Linked DNA regions of Saccharomyces cerevisiae S288C. The protein of the gene in region 4 purifies or fractionates together with the protein of the main gene of each other region. This does not show direct contact. Each region holds a gene or a part of one and is shown on either strand. Other genes may lie near its edges. The genes, in order: NOG1, HAS1, NOP7 and RPF1.

Evidence for each region.
Region 1: the proteins of RPF1 (region 4) and NOG1 purify together in Saccharomyces cerevisiae (affinity purification with mass spectrometry; 5 studies listed by BioGRID, with this or other methods). This does not show direct contact.
Region 2: the proteins of RPF1 (region 4) and HAS1 purify together in Saccharomyces cerevisiae (affinity purification with mass spectrometry; 6 studies listed by BioGRID, with this or other methods). This does not show direct contact.
Region 3: the proteins of RPF1 (region 4) and NOP7 purify together in Saccharomyces cerevisiae (affinity purification with mass spectrometry; 6 studies listed by BioGRID, with this or other methods). This does not show direct contact.

What each region holds. Positions count from the first base shown.
Region 1 is NC_001148.4:368,350-373,642, forward strand, and holds NOG1 (putative GTPase NOG1), read left to right. Parts: upstream 1-2,628; coding exon 2,629-4,572; downstream 4,573-5,293. Other genes in the region: EEB1 (medium-chain fatty acid ethyl ester synthase/esterase), read right to left, coding at 1-1,092; Sec63 complex subunit SEC62, read right to left, coding at 1,490-2,314. UniProt on the Saccharomyces cerevisiae protein: Involved in the biogenesis of the 60S ribosomal subunit.
Region 2 is NC_001145.3:848,959-853,374, reverse strand, and holds HAS1 (ATP-dependent RNA helicase HAS1), read left to right. Parts: upstream 1-1,783; coding exon 1,784-3,301; downstream 3,302-4,416. Other genes in the region: protein kinase TDA1, read right to left, coding at 1-745; aminodeoxychorismate lyase ABZ2, read right to left, coding at 3,566-4,416. UniProt on the Saccharomyces cerevisiae protein: ATP-dependent RNA helicase involved in 40S ribosomal subunit biogenesis. Required for the processing and cleavage of 35S pre-rRNA at sites A0, A1, and A2, leading to mature 18S rRNA.
Region 3 is NC_001139.9:692,848-697,734, forward strand, and holds NOP7 (mRNA-binding ribosome synthesis protein NOP7), read left to right. Parts: upstream 1-2,569; coding exon 2,570-4,387; downstream 4,388-4,887. Other genes in the region: GTPase-activating protein MDR1, read left to right, coding at 1-250; rhomboid protease PCP1, read left to right, coding at 516-1,556; GTF1 (glutamyl-tRNA(Gln) amidotransferase subunit F), read right to left, coding at 1,737-2,288; SRB5 (Srb5p), read right to left, coding at 4,598-4,887. UniProt on the Saccharomyces cerevisiae protein: Component of the NOP7 complex, which is required for maturation of the 25S and 5.8S ribosomal RNAs and formation of the 60S ribosome.
Region 4 is NC_001140.6:279,264-283,385, forward strand, and holds RPF1 (rRNA-binding ribosome biosynthesis protein RPF1), read left to right. Parts: upstream 1-2,231; coding exon 2,232-3,119; downstream 3,120-4,122. Other genes in the region: NAM8 (Nam8p), read left to right, coding at 1-461; YHR086W-A (uncharacterized protein), read left to right, coding at 968-1,129; RTC3 (Rtc3p), read left to right, coding at 1,557-1,892; H/ACA snoRNP pseudouridylase subunit GAR1, read right to left, coding at 3,418-4,035. UniProt on the Saccharomyces cerevisiae protein: Essential protein. Required for biogenesis of the 60S ribosomal subunit.

The DNA.
Region 1 (5,293 bases), on a different chromosome or scaffold from region 4:
TGGGGCAGTGAAAAGATTATCGAATTCTAATATGTCTGTAAATTTTTCAGCCTTTTCCAAATTTTCTCTGGTATACGTATAAAAGACTGGTTTCTCAACTGTCGGTTTGTGCGAAACCTCAAAATTCTCTGGTACCTGCAACTCATTCATATTAACCTTGACAGTCCTTGTTAGAAATTGTGTTAAAGTTCTAGAAAAAATATGGTTGGACCACCAATCATGAGCCAACTTGTCCCAAGTGTGTACGAAATCCCATGGGTTTGAGAGAGCGACTGCAGCATTTAATGGACAGTTATCTCCTTCTTCACCTAAGTAGTTCGTTAGCATGGCTGCTCCAAATGATGTTCCGACTGCATATATTTTTCTTTGCGGAAATAGAGCTTTTTGGTGGTTCAAAAATTCTCTCACATCACCTGTGTGTAATGCGGTAAAGATTCTACGGGTGGTGACTTTAGATCTTGAGCAACCTCTAGCATTAAGGACTACCACTTGGAATTTACCGTCACCGACTTTTGATAGATCTTCAGATAATGCCCTGATGAGAGGCTCATGGCTTCCCCCTGCAAGACCATGAAGTACTACCACTAAAGGGTAAGAATAACCCTTAGAATGACATTTTTCAAGTTCCTCAGAGGATAGATATCTAGTTCTCGGGTGAAGACGAGGCCAACCCTTTGGATGGGTGGCCTTTTCATCGTTCGAAAATTGTTTCTCGTTAAAACTAGCCTTTTCAGCATTTAATGAATATGTTTGCTCCCATTCAGGCATAACCCAATCTGCAGTGCAGACCCCTCCATCAGAAAATTTTATAATCTCTCTTCCATAAAATACCTGAAATTTTTTGGAAAAATCACCGGCTGACAAATAAAGGGTCTGTAAGTAACCTGTGAAAAGCAAGCTGTTTAACCTAAAATTTGCACCATCTTTGAGTGTAGGCACGTGTTTGGTTACGAATTCATGAAGAGGAATTTGGCGCTTAGAATCTCTGAAAGCCAAAGACTTGGTTCCTTTCTCTCCCAGTACATGTTTGACGGTGCCGTTATAGCCCCAATGGCTAGGAGTGACAGTTGGATAGTAACCCGAGCGAAACATTAAAATGACAAATATGAAAATACTTGATATCTTGATCTTTTTGCTAATCTTCAAAAATACCGAAAACTAAGTAGGCAACCAGATGCAGAACCCTTCTTATATAATCGATTCCTGTAAGCAAGTGTCAGCAAATAGCTTCTATATAGAGACCTTTCGGTGAAAGTATATTAAAGCCGGCCGGAAATTGAGTAATAATAACCGCTAATTATGCGGTGTGTGGATTCAGATTTTTGCCAGGAGCGATAACCTTCAAATCTAAAACTACTCACTATAAGCGATGAAGCAACCAGATGGTAGCGCTTTGGTGCCGGTTCTCTTGAAGGTTTGTACATGTGCGAGTTCATGAGGTTACAATATAGAAGGTTTATACAGTAGAGCTATACAGGATAATGGAAGTTCAGTTTTGTTCGGCTTTTTCATTGATGGCTTTCTTCTTATTGCTTTCTCTCTTGGCTTGTTTCTTCTTCATTCTTTTCAGTTTCTTTTTGTAACTATAAGTATCCTTCTCACCAAAACCGTAAAGTGGCTTAAAACTCTCTAGTACACCGCAATCTTCGAACAGGTTGGGAAAGATCCAGAACCCACCAACATCTTTGTAGACAATTAATGACAAAACATATAATATCAATCTCAGGATAGCGACAGCAAAGAAGCCTGCTAAGATGCCGAAGGCACCCAGAGACACATAATAGGAGCCGCGTCTCATGGAGCGCGGCCACAATGGGTAGCATACGAGCGCCAATATGATGGACACGACACCAATGACGATCAAGTAATCCATGTAGGTTCTAGGGTTATAGTTCCAAACAAAGTATTCATCGGCTTCCAATTGTGCTTTATTCGAAACAATCAAGTGCGGAAAGTCCTTGCTTGGCTTCAATCCATGCTCTTTGCATTCTTGACTATGCAATTTTTTCACTGGGATCACCATTTGTGCCTTTATAAGTTGAATAAAGATTTCACGTGACTTAAGCTGGTCTTCGATCTTGTTAGAAGGTATAGTTGGATATATCTCTGGCTGTCTTGCAGATTTGTTGGCATACTCCTCAGAATGCAGTGCCCTAACAAATCTCTTGTAACGGAAGAAGTCTGTCTGCTTGGCCTGGAATAAACCCTGCCTTTGCTTCAACTCCTTATGGTTGCGTAAAAGAGTAGCAATGGCTGTAGCAGATCCGCCATTGACACTAGCACCTGCATTGCTACCTGGACCTACGGCTGACATGTTCTCCTGTGTTTGCTCGGCTACCATACTGCATTCAACTGCAATTATAAAAGCCCACTCTTCTCCCTCTTGATTTGTATGCCAGTATTGGGAAAACGACACGTCTATTCCGTCGCACACGATCTTCACTTTCTTTTTTTTTTTCAACTGAACGAAAAGTTTTTTCCGCAGCTCATCGCAAAGAAAAATTTTCACCTATGTACTACCTCATCTAATACAATATAAAGAATACACTTCAGATTTAGGAGTTGCAGCGTTTATAAAAAAGTAAGTGTACCCTCCAAAAGCAAACACATCTCCCTCCTATACCGAAGATGCAACTTTCATGGAAGGATATCCCTACTGTCGCTCCAGCAAATGATTTGCTGGATATTGTCTTGAACAGAACCCAGAGAAAGACACCAACTGTGATCAGACCTGGTTTCAAGATTACAAGAATCAGAGCGTTCTATATGCGTAAAGTTAAATACACAGGTGAAGGTTTCGTGGAAAAATTTGAGGACATTTTAAAGGGTTTTCCTAACATCAATGACGTGCATCCTTTCCATAGAGATTTGATGGACACCCTATACGAAAAGAATCATTACAAGATATCTTTGGCAGCTATATCTCGTGCGAAGTCCCTTGTGGAACAAGTCGCCAGAGATTATGTCAGATTGCTAAAATTCGGTCAATCTTTATTTCAATGTAAACAATTGAAAAGGGCCGCTTTAGGTAGAATGGCAACTATAGTCAAGAAATTGAGGGACCCATTGGCCTATTTGGAACAAGTCAGACAGCACATTGGTAGATTACCATCGATCGACCCAAATACCAGAACCTTGCTGATCTGTGGTTATCCAAATGTCGGTAAGTCCTCGTTTTTGAGATGCATTACCAAATCAGACGTCGATGTTCAACCATATGCTTTCACAACCAAGAGTTTATACGTTGGTCATTTTGACTACAAATACTTGAGATTTCAAGCTATTGACACCCCTGGTATCCTAGATAGACCCACTGAAGAAATGAACAACATTGAAATGCAATCGATTTATGCCATTGCCCATTTACGTTCTTGTGTTTTGTACTTCATGGATCTTTCCGAACAATGTGGTTTCACCATCGAAGCTCAAGTTAAACTATTCCACTCCATCAAGCCTCTATTCGCCAACAAGTCTGTCATGGTTGTTATCAACAAAACCGACATTATCAGACCGGAGGATTTAGACGAAGAGCGTGCACAATTACTGGAATCTGTTAAGGAGGTTCCAGGTGTTGAAATCATGACTTCTTCATGCCAACTGGAAGAAAACGTTATGGAAGTTAGAAACAAAGCATGTGAAAAACTATTGGCTTCTAGAATTGAGAATAAGTTGAAATCTCAGTCTAGAATCAACAATGTTCTGAACAAGATTCATGTTGCTCAACCTCAAGCAAGAGATGATGTCAAGAGAACACCATTTATCCCAGAATCTGTCAAGAATTTGAAGAAATACGACCCTGAAGATCCAAACAGGAGAAAGTTGGCCAGAGACATCGAAGCTGAAAATGGTGGTGCTGGTGTCTTCAATGTTAACTTGAAGGACAAGTACCTATTAGAAGATGATGAGTGGAAGAATGACATCATGCCAGAAATCTTGGATGGTAAGAATGTTTATGATTTCTTGGACCCTGAAATCGCTGCTAAACTGCAGGCTCTTGAAGAAGAAGAAGAAAAATTGGAGAACGAAGGGTTCTACAATTCTGACGATGAGGAAGAAATCTACGACGGTTTCGAAGCATCCGAAGTAGATGATATCAAGGAGAAAGCTGCATGGATTAGAAATAGACAAAAGACGATGATTGCTGAAGCAAGAAATAGGAAGTCCTTGAAGAACAAAGCTATCATGCCACGTTCTAAACTAACTAAGTCCTTTGGTAAAATGGAAGAACACATGTCCACTTTGGGCCATGACATGTCAGCCTTACAAGATAAACAGAACCGTGCTGCTCGTAAGAACCGTTATGTTGAAAGAGGTTCTGATGTTGTTTTTGGCGACCAAGATGCTTTGACAGCTTCCACTGAAAACGGTGTCAAGTTGAGACAAACCGATAGACTGTTGGATGGTGTTGCTGATGGCTCCATGAGATCCAAGGCCGACAGGATGGCCAAGATGGAAAGAAGAGAAAGAAATAGACATGCCAAGCAAGGTGAATCTGATAGACACAATGCTGTTTCCTTATCAAAGCATTTATTCAGTGGTAAGCGTGGTGTCGGTAAGACAGATTTCCGTTGATTTCTCTACTTCTTATTCTTTCTTTTGCATGTACTTTAAAAAAAATATGAATATAAAATGTGGATGTACGTACACGACATTCTAATCTTTTTGGGCTGGTAGGATTACCATTTACATTTGATTATCTCTCTCACTATTAGTGGTTTCTTTTTCTTTCTTTCTCACTTTTTCTGTATCTTTTTTTTAAAAAAATTTTATTTAATCTGTATAATAATAATAAACCGATTTAAATTATCCAACAAGCCGACCCCTCCATGTTCTACTATTTTTTTGTATGTCACTGGATGTATACAAATAATTAAGCATGTGGAAAAAGAAGGGGTGGGATAGCGTCAAGATGACACTTCTACTTTTTTGTGACACATCATCATGCAACCTATCGAGTCTCCCACGAGGTTGACAAATAAGAAATTGTTATCGTTTTTGCAGTGTATCGTATAAGGCAACAATAGCGATGTCTCCCATCAATTGACTGATAAATTCCTGCAAACTATCATTTTTTTTTTTTCATCCTTGTGCCGCGTCTGTAGCCGAAAATCTGAGAGTGCATGAATCTTAAAAAACAGAAGACTCATCGCCGTCTTTGGCACATTGGGGTTGTCTTTGACTTCTTTTGCTTATTTTTGCTCACTTTGCTTATTTTACCTATTTAACTAGAGGTTCTAAAAGAATAGCCAACCAGCGTGTAGTTCTTATTTCTAATCCTTGTCTTGTTAAGTTG
Region 2 (4,416 bases), on a different chromosome or scaffold from region 4:
TTTCTGGAGCAATATACGAGATGGTTCCAACAAACTCCTTTAACGAGTTTACCTTACTTGTGTTATATTCAGCAGCAAGACCAAAATCGGCGAGAACTAGGTCGTGTGCCAAGAGATCGTATTTGAAATCTCCGTGGTGTTCACCCTGTAGGTTTTTTTCGTTTTCGTTCACTCTCAATCTGAATAAGACGTTTTCTGCTTTCAAGTCTCTATGAACAATACCTTGAGAATGCAAAAACTCGAGAACGCTCACCAAACAGGCGCAGTACGAGGTAACTTGAGTTTCGAGGTCTAAACACTGATTTTCAACAATTTTTTCATACAAATCTCCCTTCTGACACAGCTGAGTGATCAGGACAATGTTATCTGCCGTCTCAAAATAGTCGAAAAGTTGTAAAATATGGTGATGCCCCTCAAAAATGTCCAAAGAATGTTCATTCTTTTTTTCCATATCTCTGATTTTCTCGCTTATTGACCTCAAAAGGTCGAACTCTCTTTGAATAAGTTGAATTTTGTTCTTGACAGTTTGTTTCTTAATAAGCTTCATCGCGTACAAATCCTTTGTGTGTATATTCATACATTCTTTCACGACGCTAAAATTCCCATCGCCCAAGGAGTTGTGGTTGGTTACGTATTTACATTTGAAGGTTTGAGCGTCTGCATTGCTGCCACTCAGTTGCGGCCAAGGTTTTTCTTCCGGCAGGCGCTGTTGTAGCTGGGAAGCAGAAGAACTAGCTGTAGTCATATCCTGGATGTGTATTTTTCTTTTTGAACTGTTGTAATGTCAATTGTATGAAAATATCGCGGTTTGGCTGAGACAGTCGTGGTAGGTAACTGAAGGAGCAAACAAGAAATTAATAAATAAACAAGTTAGCAAAACAAATAAAAAAACTGTCACTCTAAATAGAAAGAAGTAAAGAAGCAGAAGAAGTCATCCCCGTTCGACACGTTTTCATATTCTGAGTACATGATAAACCCCGCCCTCTTTTTCTTTTTTTAGGAATCCCCCTTTCTATTGTCAGAACAAGAAAGCGGTGTTGGAATTCAAGCAGCTTTTTTTTTTTCTTTTCGTCATACAGTTTCTTTTTCAGGAGTCTTGGTAGCACCCCACCCGTGGAATCGGCGGAATAACCTAACACGTGGAGGTTTTTCCGAGGTGCCAAAAAAGGAAAAACAAAGAGAAGCTGAAATCGGAATTTGAAGAATAGCGTGGGGGGGAGGGGGTTATTCAAGGAGCGCCTGTACCGGCAACGATAGCTTCGGCGGCTAAGATGGCAAACCTAATAGATGTATGTAAAAACATGGATGATAGCAGGCGGTGAACAGCCATGGTAATTTTAGGGAGTGCAAAAGTTATATGTAAGGCTATATCTGTATCAGTTAACAGGGGTGGAAAATGATTTGATAGGCGCAATATGTTTATTGGTAAAAGAGCATCTTAAACCACTTCATTCCATTTCTCACTATCACAAGTGATATATTATGTGTATTTTGCAATCCATGACGCTTTAATGCTTTACAAAGCGCTGCTACTTCTATTTTCTTAACGTAAAGAGGAGTGTATGACGACTAAGAATTGTTTACCCGGCGAGAGTCGATTCTTCGTTACCCGAATTGAAAATTTTTTATTTGCTTTTTCTTTTTTTTTTTTTTTTTTTTTTCAATATTAGCTTTAGCGATGAGATGAGATTTTATAGTGTATACACGGTACTTGAGTACATAGCTATTGGATAACTGTATACTATAATAATTAGATAAGCTGAGCAATATTAACAGGAGAAGTATGGCTACCCCGTCAAATAAACGTTCTAGAGATTCTGAATCTACAGAAGAACCTGTAGTAGATGAAAAGAGCACTTCAAAACAAAACAATGCCGCACCTGAGGGAGAACAAACTACTTGTGTGGAAAAGTTCGAAGAACTAAAGTTATCACAGCCAACTTTAAAGGCCATTGAAAAGATGGGATTTACCACTATGACTTCTGTTCAGGCAAGGACTATCCCACCTCTTTTGGCCGGTAGGGATGTTCTTGGTGCTGCCAAGACAGGTTCTGGTAAAACTCTAGCGTTTCTCATCCCTGCTATTGAACTATTGCATTCTTTGAAATTCAAACCAAGAAATGGTACCGGTATAATTGTCATTACGCCTACAAGAGAGTTGGCTTTACAGATTTTTGGAGTGGCAAGAGAGTTAATGGAATTCCATTCACAGACATTTGGTATTGTCATTGGTGGTGCAAATAGAAGACAGGAAGCCGAAAAATTGATGAAAGGTGTTAACATGTTGATTGCTACCCCTGGAAGATTATTGGATCACTTACAAAATACAAAAGGATTTGTATTCAAGAACTTGAAGGCTTTGATTATCGATGAAGCGGACAGAATCTTAGAAATTGGGTTTGAAGATGAAATGAGGCAGATAATTAAGATCTTGCCAAACGAAGATAGGCAATCCATGTTATTTTCAGCTACACAAACGACCAAAGTTGAGGATTTGGCTAGAATCTCGCTGAGACCGGGCCCTCTTTTCATTAATGTCGTTCCTGAAACCGACAACTCCACCGCAGATGGATTAGAACAAGGCTATGTGGTATGTGACAGTGATAAGAGATTTTTGTTGTTATTTTCTTTCTTGAAAAGAAATCAAAAAAAGAAAATTATTGTATTTTTATCATCTTGTAACTCTGTGAAATATTACGCTGAATTATTGAACTATATTGATTTGCCAGTCCTCGAATTACACGGTAAGCAAAAACAACAAAAGAGAACAAATACATTTTTCGAATTCTGTAATGCGGAAAGAGGTATCTTGATTTGTACAGATGTCGCAGCTAGAGGGCTAGATATCCCTGCTGTGGACTGGATCATTCAATTCGACCCTCCTGATGATCCAAGAGATTATATTCATAGAGTCGGAAGAACCGCAAGAGGCACTAAAGGTAAGGGTAAATCTTTAATGTTTTTAACACCTAATGAATTAGGGTTTTTAAGATATCTAAAGGCTTCCAAGGTCCCATTAAATGAGTACGAATTCCCGGAAAACAAAATTGCAAACGTTCAATCACAATTAGAAAAATTAATTAAATCCAACTATTATCTACATCAAACAGCCAAGGATGGTTATAGATCTTATTTACAAGCGTACGCTTCCCACTCTTTGAAAACTGTCTATCAAATCGATAAGCTGGATTTAGCCAAAGTAGCAAAGTCTTACGGTTTTCCAGTCCCTCCAAAGGTTAACATTACAATTGGTGCCAGTGGAAAAACGCCAAATACCAAAAGACGTAAAACTCATAAGTAATTTCAGAGGATCAATTTTTAATGCTATTAATGTGTACGTGGAACCAACACAACCGAAGTATTCATCTTCTGTTCTCATCGCACTCCTTTTCCTTTCTCTGCTTCTCCACTGTATGTCATTTAAATAAATGTATAAACCGCTGTTTTCTGTTTGTTGTCTTCTACGTACGTTGTCTGTATCAACCTGCACATATTTGAGTATGTAAAATCATGATTTGTAAACTATTGTAAAAAAACTTCATTGATATGAAAATCTGTCGTCTGCTCAATATTTTGTCTTCACTGTTCCCTTTATGCATCCCATGACGCCATTGAAAAGCAAAACTTCGTTGCCAACGGTAAGGCTTCCTATATCTATATCTCCCTCTTCAATAAGGCCGAGCCGCAATAAATAATGACGCATTGTTCCGCACAAACATCCAGTTGCTAATCTTGGTGTCACATACTTTTTAGAACCGTTAGGATCTTTTTGAATTACAGCCACGTTTGTTATTGAACCTTCCATCAGCAGGCCAGATTTGTTGGAAAATAAAATTTCGCATTGCGAGACAGAAGAAGTAGGTTCTGAACCTCTTAAGTTATTTATAGCAGTTTGCATGCGAACTCTCGCCCTAGCGTAATGATCTCTTGAAGTGGTTTTAAAACTGGTGAAAGCTGATGCGTTCAATGGTTCAGATGAAACAACAACATCCCAATTTATTGTGCTATCAATTAAAAATCCATTGAGCATCGTTTTGATGAAGTATGTGGAAACACTGTCATAATCGGTTGTTAATTTTAGGATAGGCTCCATAGGCATTGGAATTGCCTCAATTCGTATATCTCCTGTCTTAGAGACAAGTACCCGCATTTTATAGCATTGCCTTTCGTTGATCATTTTTTGAATTTTTTCGTGATACTCTGAATTTCCTTCTTTACAATTAATCAAGTTTTCAACCAATAACTTCAATAAATCATTCAGAGACGTGCTGAAGTCAATTTTAAAGTATGATAATGCTATTCTTATTCTTTGGTATTGTTCATCTAATAAAAAAAATCGTTCATAAATGACTTGTAGCATATCTTCTACACGCTGGCACACAATGGTCTTGCAATCATGCTTCCAAGCATCAGGAT
Region 3 (4,887 bases), on a different chromosome or scaffold from region 4:
CATTGCTTCTGTAGAGAGTACGCCAACAGCCGCTGCAAGTTCAATAACTACCAAAGAAGAAAAGTACGATGATCTAGATGATTTCACGTCAGAGCATCAACCCGAGAATGAAGAGTTATTACAAAGTTCCTGGTTTGAGATCGACGATGCCAATGAAACTAGCACTAAAGCCATACAAGAAAGGTCTTTTGAGCCTTTGTCGGCAAATTCCTCGGAAGAGAAGTCCAACCTTATTGAATTTGAAGCATGAAATCGTGCTTATCAATTTTATGTCACCCTAAAACATCTGTACGTGTTTATATAGATATTTAAAGCAATATTTGCCAGGATTTGGTGAAGATCCCTCATATAACTCTCATAAATGCGGATTTTCGGAGCGAAAAAAGCCTAAATTCTTGTCTGGAAGTATAATTGGCGGTGAAATAGAAAAGGTGGCAATCACGACTGAAAAGGGTACAGCTTTCGCAACTGACATATACAGACAGTGAAAAGTAATAAATTGCCCAAGTGTGAACATGTCAGGTGTAAGCTCTGTTATGCTCGGTCTTCGACCTGCTACAAGAATTTTTTTCCGCAGTAATATTTCGGTTTCACCTTCGAGGACTTTTGTATCATATATTGGAAGATCCCAGAGCACGTCGATACTCAAAAATGCTCCCAACTTAGAGGACAATGTCACAAATCTTCAGAAAATTATACCGAAACGGTTCTTTTCTCAAACATCAATTTTGAAATCAAGGTGGAAGCCTATATTCAATGAAGAAACTACTAATCGATACGTACGTTTGAACAGGTTTCAGCAGTACCAGCAGCAGAGAAGCGGCGGCAATCCTCTGGGCTCTATGACTATTTTGGGGCTCTCTTTAATGGCAGGAATATATTTTGGCTCCCCTTATTTGTTCGAGCACGTTCCACCCTTTACGTATTTTAAGACGCATCCAAAGAATCTGGTATACGCGTTATTAGGCATCAATGTTGCCGTATTTGGACTATGGCAGCTACCCAAATGCTGGAGGTTTCTACAGAAGTACATGTTGCTGCAAAAGGATTACGTAACTAGCAAAATTTCGATAATCGGAAGTGCGTTTTCACATCAAGAATTCTGGCACTTAGGTATGAACATGCTAGCGTTGTGGTCCTTTGGTACTTCACTCGCAACAATGTTGGGAGCATCCAATTTTTTCTCCTTATATATGAATAGTGCCATTGCAGGTTCTTTGTTTTCGTTATGGTATCCAAAACTGGCACGCCTAGCCATTGTCGGACCTAGCTTGGGTGCCAGTGGAGCGCTATTTGGGGTTTTAGGATGTTTTTCATATCTATTCCCACACGCTAAAATTTTGCTGTTTGTTTTCCCAGTCCCAGGTGGGGCTTGGGTAGCATTCTTGGCTTCAGTGGCATGGAATGCAGCTGGTTGTGCTTTAAGATGGGGGTCATTTGATTACGCTGCGCATTTAGGTGGCTCTATGATGGGGGTCTTGTACGGATGGTATATAAGTAAAGCTGTAGAGAAACAAAGGCAGCGTCGCCTTCAGGCTGCTGGTAGGTGGTTTTAATCACTTAAAAAAAGACACATTCTCATTCGAAATATTGTAAATACTGCTATGTCTTCTATGTACTTAATCTTATTTATGCATTTGAAAAATATTTCAGCCTTATCGTGGTGGTACATGTACAAGAAAATTCATAGGCAAAAGAATATATAGAATAGAGCGTATGTGTTACTTTTCTAAGTCTTACTTCCTGTTTTTGAGTAGTCCCTCTTTGACAACAAAATATGCATTTTTGGATTCCGCGGCAAGTCCAGTTGCTTTCCAAGATCCGCTAACTTCTCCTAGCTCAGCATCCTGCTTTTGGTGGCTGATGCCTTCAAGTAGCTTTGTGTAGTTCAGCTGTTTCGTATTTCTTTGCACCAACCGAGCATCATATTCCTTGGTGTGCTTTTCACCTTCGACAGGTATGTTATGGAGTTTGTTGATGAATGATAATTGCTTGGCAAGTCGCATTTGAATTTCTTTAATATCTGCTCCTTCCAAGGGAAGACCTGATAACCGCAACAATTTTTTTACAGCTTCAGCAGACGGTGGCTCTAGTTTTTCCTCTTTAGTGTTTATGCCTAAATATTCGTGGACGGACCATACAGGTCTTGATAAATAATCCCTTATTTGATTCATATTTTCAAATTTTTTACCAATCTTTGCCCCTCCCGTAGATACGAACCGATGACTTCCATCATGGCATAACCCACCCACTGTATGTGTTCTGCATAGACGCCATGTTTTGTACATCGTTCTAGCACTATGGGTAAGTGCAAATAGTTCGATCTAAAAGCCTAAATGCTAGTCACTATTACCTCCTTGATGTTATATTTACAGAATAATGTCATGTCGTCTGTGGTGACTATTATTATTGCCTGAAAAAATTAAAGAAAATTTTTTGCGATGAGATGAGATGAGAAAAAATGAAAAATTTTGGAAGGTTAATTAGAGATGTGTAGTAAATCCTGCTGGTGGAATACATTTTATTCCTGTAGAAAATAGTATAGTAACAGCGGTATCCTACTTATACAATGAGAATCAAGAAGAAAAACACCAGAGGTAACGCAAGAAACTTTATTACCAGATCTCAAGCTGTGAGAAAATTACAGGTTTCTCTTGCTGATTTCAGAAGATTATGTATATTCAAAGGTATCTATCCTAGAGAGCCAAGAAATAAAAAGAAGGCAAACAAGGGCTCTACTGCACCAACTACTTTTTACTATGCTAAGGATATTCAATATCTAATGCATGAGCCCGTTTTGGCTAAATTTAGAGAACACAAGACTTTTGCTAGGAAACTAACAAGGGCTTTGGGTAGGGGAGAAGTCTCTTCTGCTAAAAGGTTAGAGGAAAACAGAGATAGTTATACTTTAGACCATATTATCAAGGAGCGTTATCCAAGTTTCCCAGATGCTATAAGGGATATTGATGATGCTTTGAATATGTTATTTCTTTTCTCTAATTTGCCCTCTACCAACCAGGTTTCCTCGAAAATTATCAATGATGCTCAGAAAATCTGTAATCAATGGTTAGCCTATGTTGCCAAGGAACGCTTGGTTCGTAAAGTGTTTGTATCCATTAAAGGTGTTTATTATCAAGCCAATATTAAGGGTGAAGAAGTTAGATGGTTAGTTCCATTCAAGTTTCCAGAAAACATCCCCAGTGACGTTGATTTCAGAATTATGTTGACCTTCTTAGAATTCTACTCGACTCTATTGCATTTCGTCCTATATAAGTTATACACCGATAGTGGGTTGATTTATCCGCCAAAATTGGATCTTAAAAAGGATAAAATCATAAGTGGTTTGTCATCATATATTCTAGAATCCAGACAAGAAGACAGCCTACTAAAACTTGACCCAACTGAGATTGAGGAAGACGTAAAAGTTGAAAGTTTGGACGCATCGACATTAAAGTCTGCCTTGAATGCCGATGAGGCAAATACTGATGAAACAGAAAAGGAGGAAGAACAAGAAAAGAAACAAGAAAAGGAACAAGAAAAGGAACAAAATGAGGAAACGGAACTAGATACTTTCGAGGATAACAATAAGAACAAGGGTGACATCTTAATACAGCCAAGTAAGTACGATTCTCCTGTTGCTTCTTTGTTTTCTGCATTTGTTTTTTACGTTAGCAGAGAAGTTCCGATCGATATTCTTGAGTTCTTGATCTTATCTTGTGGTGGTAATGTCATCAGTGAAGCTGCTATGGACCAAATTGAAAATAAGAAGGATATTGACATGTCCAAGGTCACTCATCAAATTGTTGACAGGCCAGTTTTGAAAAACAAGGTAGCTGGCAGAACGTATATTCAGCCACAGTGGATATTTGATTGTATCAATAAAGGCGAATTGGTACCTGCCAACAAATATCTTCCAGGGGAGGCTCTTCCACCTCACTTAAGCCCATGGGGTGATGCTATTGGTTACGATCCAACTGCTCCTGTCGAAGAAGGCGAAGAAGAAGAAAGTGAAAGTGAAAGTGAAAGTGAAGATCAAGTTGAGGAGGAAGATCAAGAAGTTGTTGCTGGAGAAGAAGATGATGACGATGACGAAGAGCTACAAGCTCAAAAAGAGCTTGAATTGGAAGCACAAGGTATCAAATATTCTGAAACTTCAGAAGCTGATAAGGATGTCAATAAGTCAAAGAACAAAAAGAGAAAGGTGGATGAAGAAGAAGAAGAAAAGAAATTGAAAATGATAATGATGAGTAACAAACAAAAGAAACTTTACAAAAAAATGAAGTATTCTAATGCTAAAAAGGAGGAACAAGCTGAGAACTTAAAAAAGAAAAAGAAGCAAATTGCCAAACAAAAAGCTAAACTGAATAAACTAGATTCCAAGAAATAGTTTTCTCTTCTTTTCCAATAGCCTCTCAAAAATTTTGTCTTTTAATTTAACATCTTTATTACTTTATAATTCCTCGGTATAGCAACATTAGATATATAACTACACATTTTTGTTTGTAGATATAGAAATACCTGTACATTAAAAGTGGTTACTGTTGTTCTGTATAACTATATGAGTGAATTTTGTAAAAATATGCCCAGGTGCCAATGATTATATTAGAATATTTCCATGTGCTACCCTCGAGTCCATTGACTGTCTATCGGGTACACTTAACTCTATATAGCCTTGTAGTTCCTTTTTTAAGTTCATCAAGGCAGTCTCTGTATAGTTTATACGATCGATATCGGTCCCCCTACTAACATTGATGTATGCTTTTAAAAGGAACCCTCCGCTTGTTATTTGTGAATTGCCTGCTTCTTCTATTTGCCAAATTTTTTGTAACTCAAGTATTAAACCATGCTTCATAAAAAATTTCACACCAATTGTAAGATACTGAAATT
Region 4 (4,122 bases):
TCCCCATTGCAAATTCAAGAGTTAGACTGTCTTGGGGCAGGTCTGCTAAGCAAACAGCGTTGCTTCAGCAAGCCATGTTAAGTAACTCTTTACAGGTTCAACAACAGCAACCAGGTTTACAGCAACCTAACTACGGATACATTCCATCCAGTACGTGTGAAGCACCTGTTCTGCCAGATAATAATGTTTCATCCACGATGCTTCCTGGATGTCAAATTCTGAATTATTCTAATCCATACGCTAATGCGAATGGATTAGGCTCGAACAATTTCAGTTTCTACAGTAATAATAATGCTACAAATACGCAAGCTACTAGTTTACTGGCTGACACTAGCTCTATGGACCTCTCAGGCACGGGTGGCCAACAAGTTATCATGCAAGGAAGCGAAGCGGTTGTTAACAGCACTAATGCAATGTTAAACCGTTTGGAACAAGGCAGTAATGGTTTTATGTTTGCTTGAGCCACACGTGTATATAAAAATGTTTGTTTTCCTTTTGGCCCTTTTTCTTTCTTGGTATTTTCTTTACTTCAGTGTTAAATTGTATTTGGTCTTAGGCTGACGGTGATATAACAGCGCTTTATTTTCTTTTTTTCATTGCTTTTTATCGTTTTCAAGATTCCATGTCCTTTTATTAAGTCTTTTTTGTATCGTTATAGTTGCGTTTTTCCTTTTGATTTTCATTTCTTTCAAGGTTATTGTTATTCTTAATTCAATTCAAGATTGTACGCTTTTAAGCATGTTTATGATTTTCCTTTATTACTTCCATTTACCTTCTTTCCATCACTACTCATTACGGCCTGTCAATTCCTTTTTTGCGTCACCTTCATTTTTTCTTCTCTGTTCTTTTCTGTATTTGTCGAAAATTTTATATTGATGTATCTTAATTTTATTTTTAGTATTATTATACTGTAAATGTTTCTTACTGTGTCAAGATTTCCCGTTGCGCTATCTTCCAAGACTACGTAATGCGTTTGTCTCTCTATTCATGTTGTCTCTGTATAGGGGCACGGCGAATTCCTACTCCGTGTCTCTTCTCCTATATCTTTACACCAAATTTGGCCCATTTTCATTCCCCTTTACGTAGTAGCGGTTTTCGGCCTGCCGGTGCTACGCGTTTCTATAGCTAGTTTCGTTTTCTCACAAATAAATCCTAGCAGGAGGAAAAGAAAGCGCAGGTTGAAACTCCGTTCAGAAGAAGAAAGCCACTCTTTGAAAATACTGCCCACGCAATTGTCCCTTTCTGACAATAAGACCCCTTACTACTAGTAAATGTTTTTATTCTCTAAGCTTCTTTTCCTCTAACTTCGACGCTAGAGCAGGCACTACCCTGTTGGGCCGTACGTAACAACAACGACCCCTTATTTAGTCGAAGGGATCGCCAGAAACAGGGAGCAAAAGATATTTAAGTGATGAGAATCAATTTCGATGATGATCACAAGCCAATGTTCTTTAAACTCAATTCTTGACTAATAAAAAAGCAGCTATCAACAAATTCATACTTTGAACAAGCTGATAAAAATAAGAAAACCATCGCATACACAAAATAAAATCAACATGTCTACTGTAACCAAATACTTTTACAAGGGTGAAAATACAGATTTGATTGTCTTCGCTGCATCCGAAGAGCTTGTAGACGAATATTTGAAAAATCCATCAATTGGTAAGCTATCTGAAGTTGTCGAACTCTTCGAAGTTTTCACTCCTCAGGACGGTAGGGGTGCCGAGGGTGAGTTGGGCGCTGCCTCCAAGGCCCAAGTGGAAAATGAGTTCGGTAAGGGCAAGAAGATCGAAGAAGTTATCGATTTGATATTGAGAAATGGTAAGCCAAACTCTACCACCTCTAGTCTCAAAACCAAAGGGGGTAACGCCGGAACCAAAGCCTACAATTGAGTAGCTTTTCCTTCTGTCTGGACAGCCTGCATTGAAATATGCAATAAGTTAAATTGGCGTGCTGCCCTGTCATAACGCATGCATTCTTCTTTTACAGTAGTAGAAAGAACAAAAAGGTGTATATTTCAATATACATATTTACGATCTATATAACGTTGTATACATTTAATTCAGTGCATTTTTCATTTTCGCGTTCGTCACACATGATTATTTATACAAAGGAAAAGTAAAATTTTTAGCGATGAGATGTAAAAAGAAATGCGATGCCATAAGCTATACTTTACGATTGAACACCTAAGGAAGAGGTAAAGCAGGCTTAATATATTGAAATACTAAAAAATGGCTCTCGGTAATGAGATAAACATCACAAACAAGCTAAAGAGGCAAGAAATTTTTGCTGATATAAAACATGAAAAAAATAAAGAGCGCCATACCATGAGAAGAAAGAGAGCTAAGGAAGAGAGAGAGAATCCGGAGCTGCGGGAGCAGAGATTAAAAGAGAACGTAACACAGACGATAGAGAACACTAGAGTGTACGATGAGACCATTAACAAGGAAGTGGAGGGAGATGAAGACGATTTGATGAGATACTTCAACAGCAATTCTAATGAGCCACCAAAGATCTTTCTGACCACAAATGTAAACGCTAAGAAGAGCGCTTATGAATTTGCTAACATTTTAATCGAAATTTTACCAAACGTCACATTTGTGAAAAGAAAATTTGGCTACAAATTGAAGGAAATATCTGATATTTGTATAAAAAGGAATTTCACTGACATCGTGATAATCAACGAGGACAAGAAAAAGGTTACTGGCCTAACATTCATACATCTGCCAGAGGGCCCAACTTTTTATTTTAAATTATCATCATTTGTTGAAGTGAAGAAAATTGTCGGTCATGGTAGACCAACTAGCCATATTCCAGAATTGATTCTAAATAATTTCCAGACCAGATTGGGTCAAACAGTAGGTAGGTTGTTTCAGTCCATTTTACCTCAGAATCCTGATATTGAAGGTCGACAAGTTATCACCCTACATAATCAAAGAGATTACATTTTCTTCAGAAGGCATCGGTATGTCTTCAAAGATAATGAAAGGGTTGGTTTGCAAGAACTGGGTCCACAATTTACCCTCAAGTTGAAAAGATTGCAAAGGGGTATTAAGGAAGAAACTGAATGGGAGCATAAACCTGAGATGGACAAAGAAAAGAAAAAGTTTTATTTATAGTGTTCCATTCGTAAACTTTGTATGGATATAATATTAAGACAACCGTAAGAACCGTGGTCGTTTGTTTAACTACGGCGGCTTCTGGTATTACTGAATTTCTCTTTTTTTCATTTTAAATCAATTTATTACAGGTAAATCAATCAAACAAATATATATATATATAGTATACAGAACAAACGGTAATTTCTTTTTTTTTTTTTCGACGTTAGACGTGCTTCGGCAGATATAGTAAGTTGGAAGAAATGAAGAATTGTGAAAGATAAAGGATGGTTTTTTTTTTTATTTTTTTCTAGCTAGATTATCTTCTACCTCCTCTGAAACCACCACGAGATCCGCCACGAGATCCTCCTCTAAATGATCCGCCACGAGATCCACCTCTGAAAGAACTGCCACCACGGCCTCCTCTGAAAGAACTACCACCACGGCCTCCTCTGAAACCTCCTCTGCTACCACCGCGACCCATTGAAGCACCACCACGGCCACCTGGGGCACCACTTCTCTTCTTCTTGTTTTTTGGTTTTGGTGGGCCTACCACCTTAGGCTTAGGTAAAAATCTTTCAATAGGCAATAGTTTGTCAGCGGCAATGTAGAATTTATCACCTTCTTTAAAACTGGTTGCTTGGACACCGTCACCACACTTGATAGTGAAAAATACTTCGTTTAATGGACCCAATATTTCGTCAACTTTACCGACTTGAGTCTTGTTTTCCAAATATATTGGCGCATTGAAATATGGAATCTTAGTGTTGATAGAACGGCAAACAATATCACCCTCACATGGATGTAGAAAAGCTCCCATTTCTAGAACAGTGTCTGGTGGTCCTTGTTGAAATGATCTAGCACTGCCTGTACGTCCACCACGAAAGCCGCCACGGAAGCCGCCACGGCCACCTCTATTACCTCCTCTGAAACTCATTATTTTCTTTTGGTTAAAAATTATCCTCAGGTGATCTTTTGGTAGAAGAGAGCAATCAGATACTCTATCGAAAAGGTGCTCACGTTA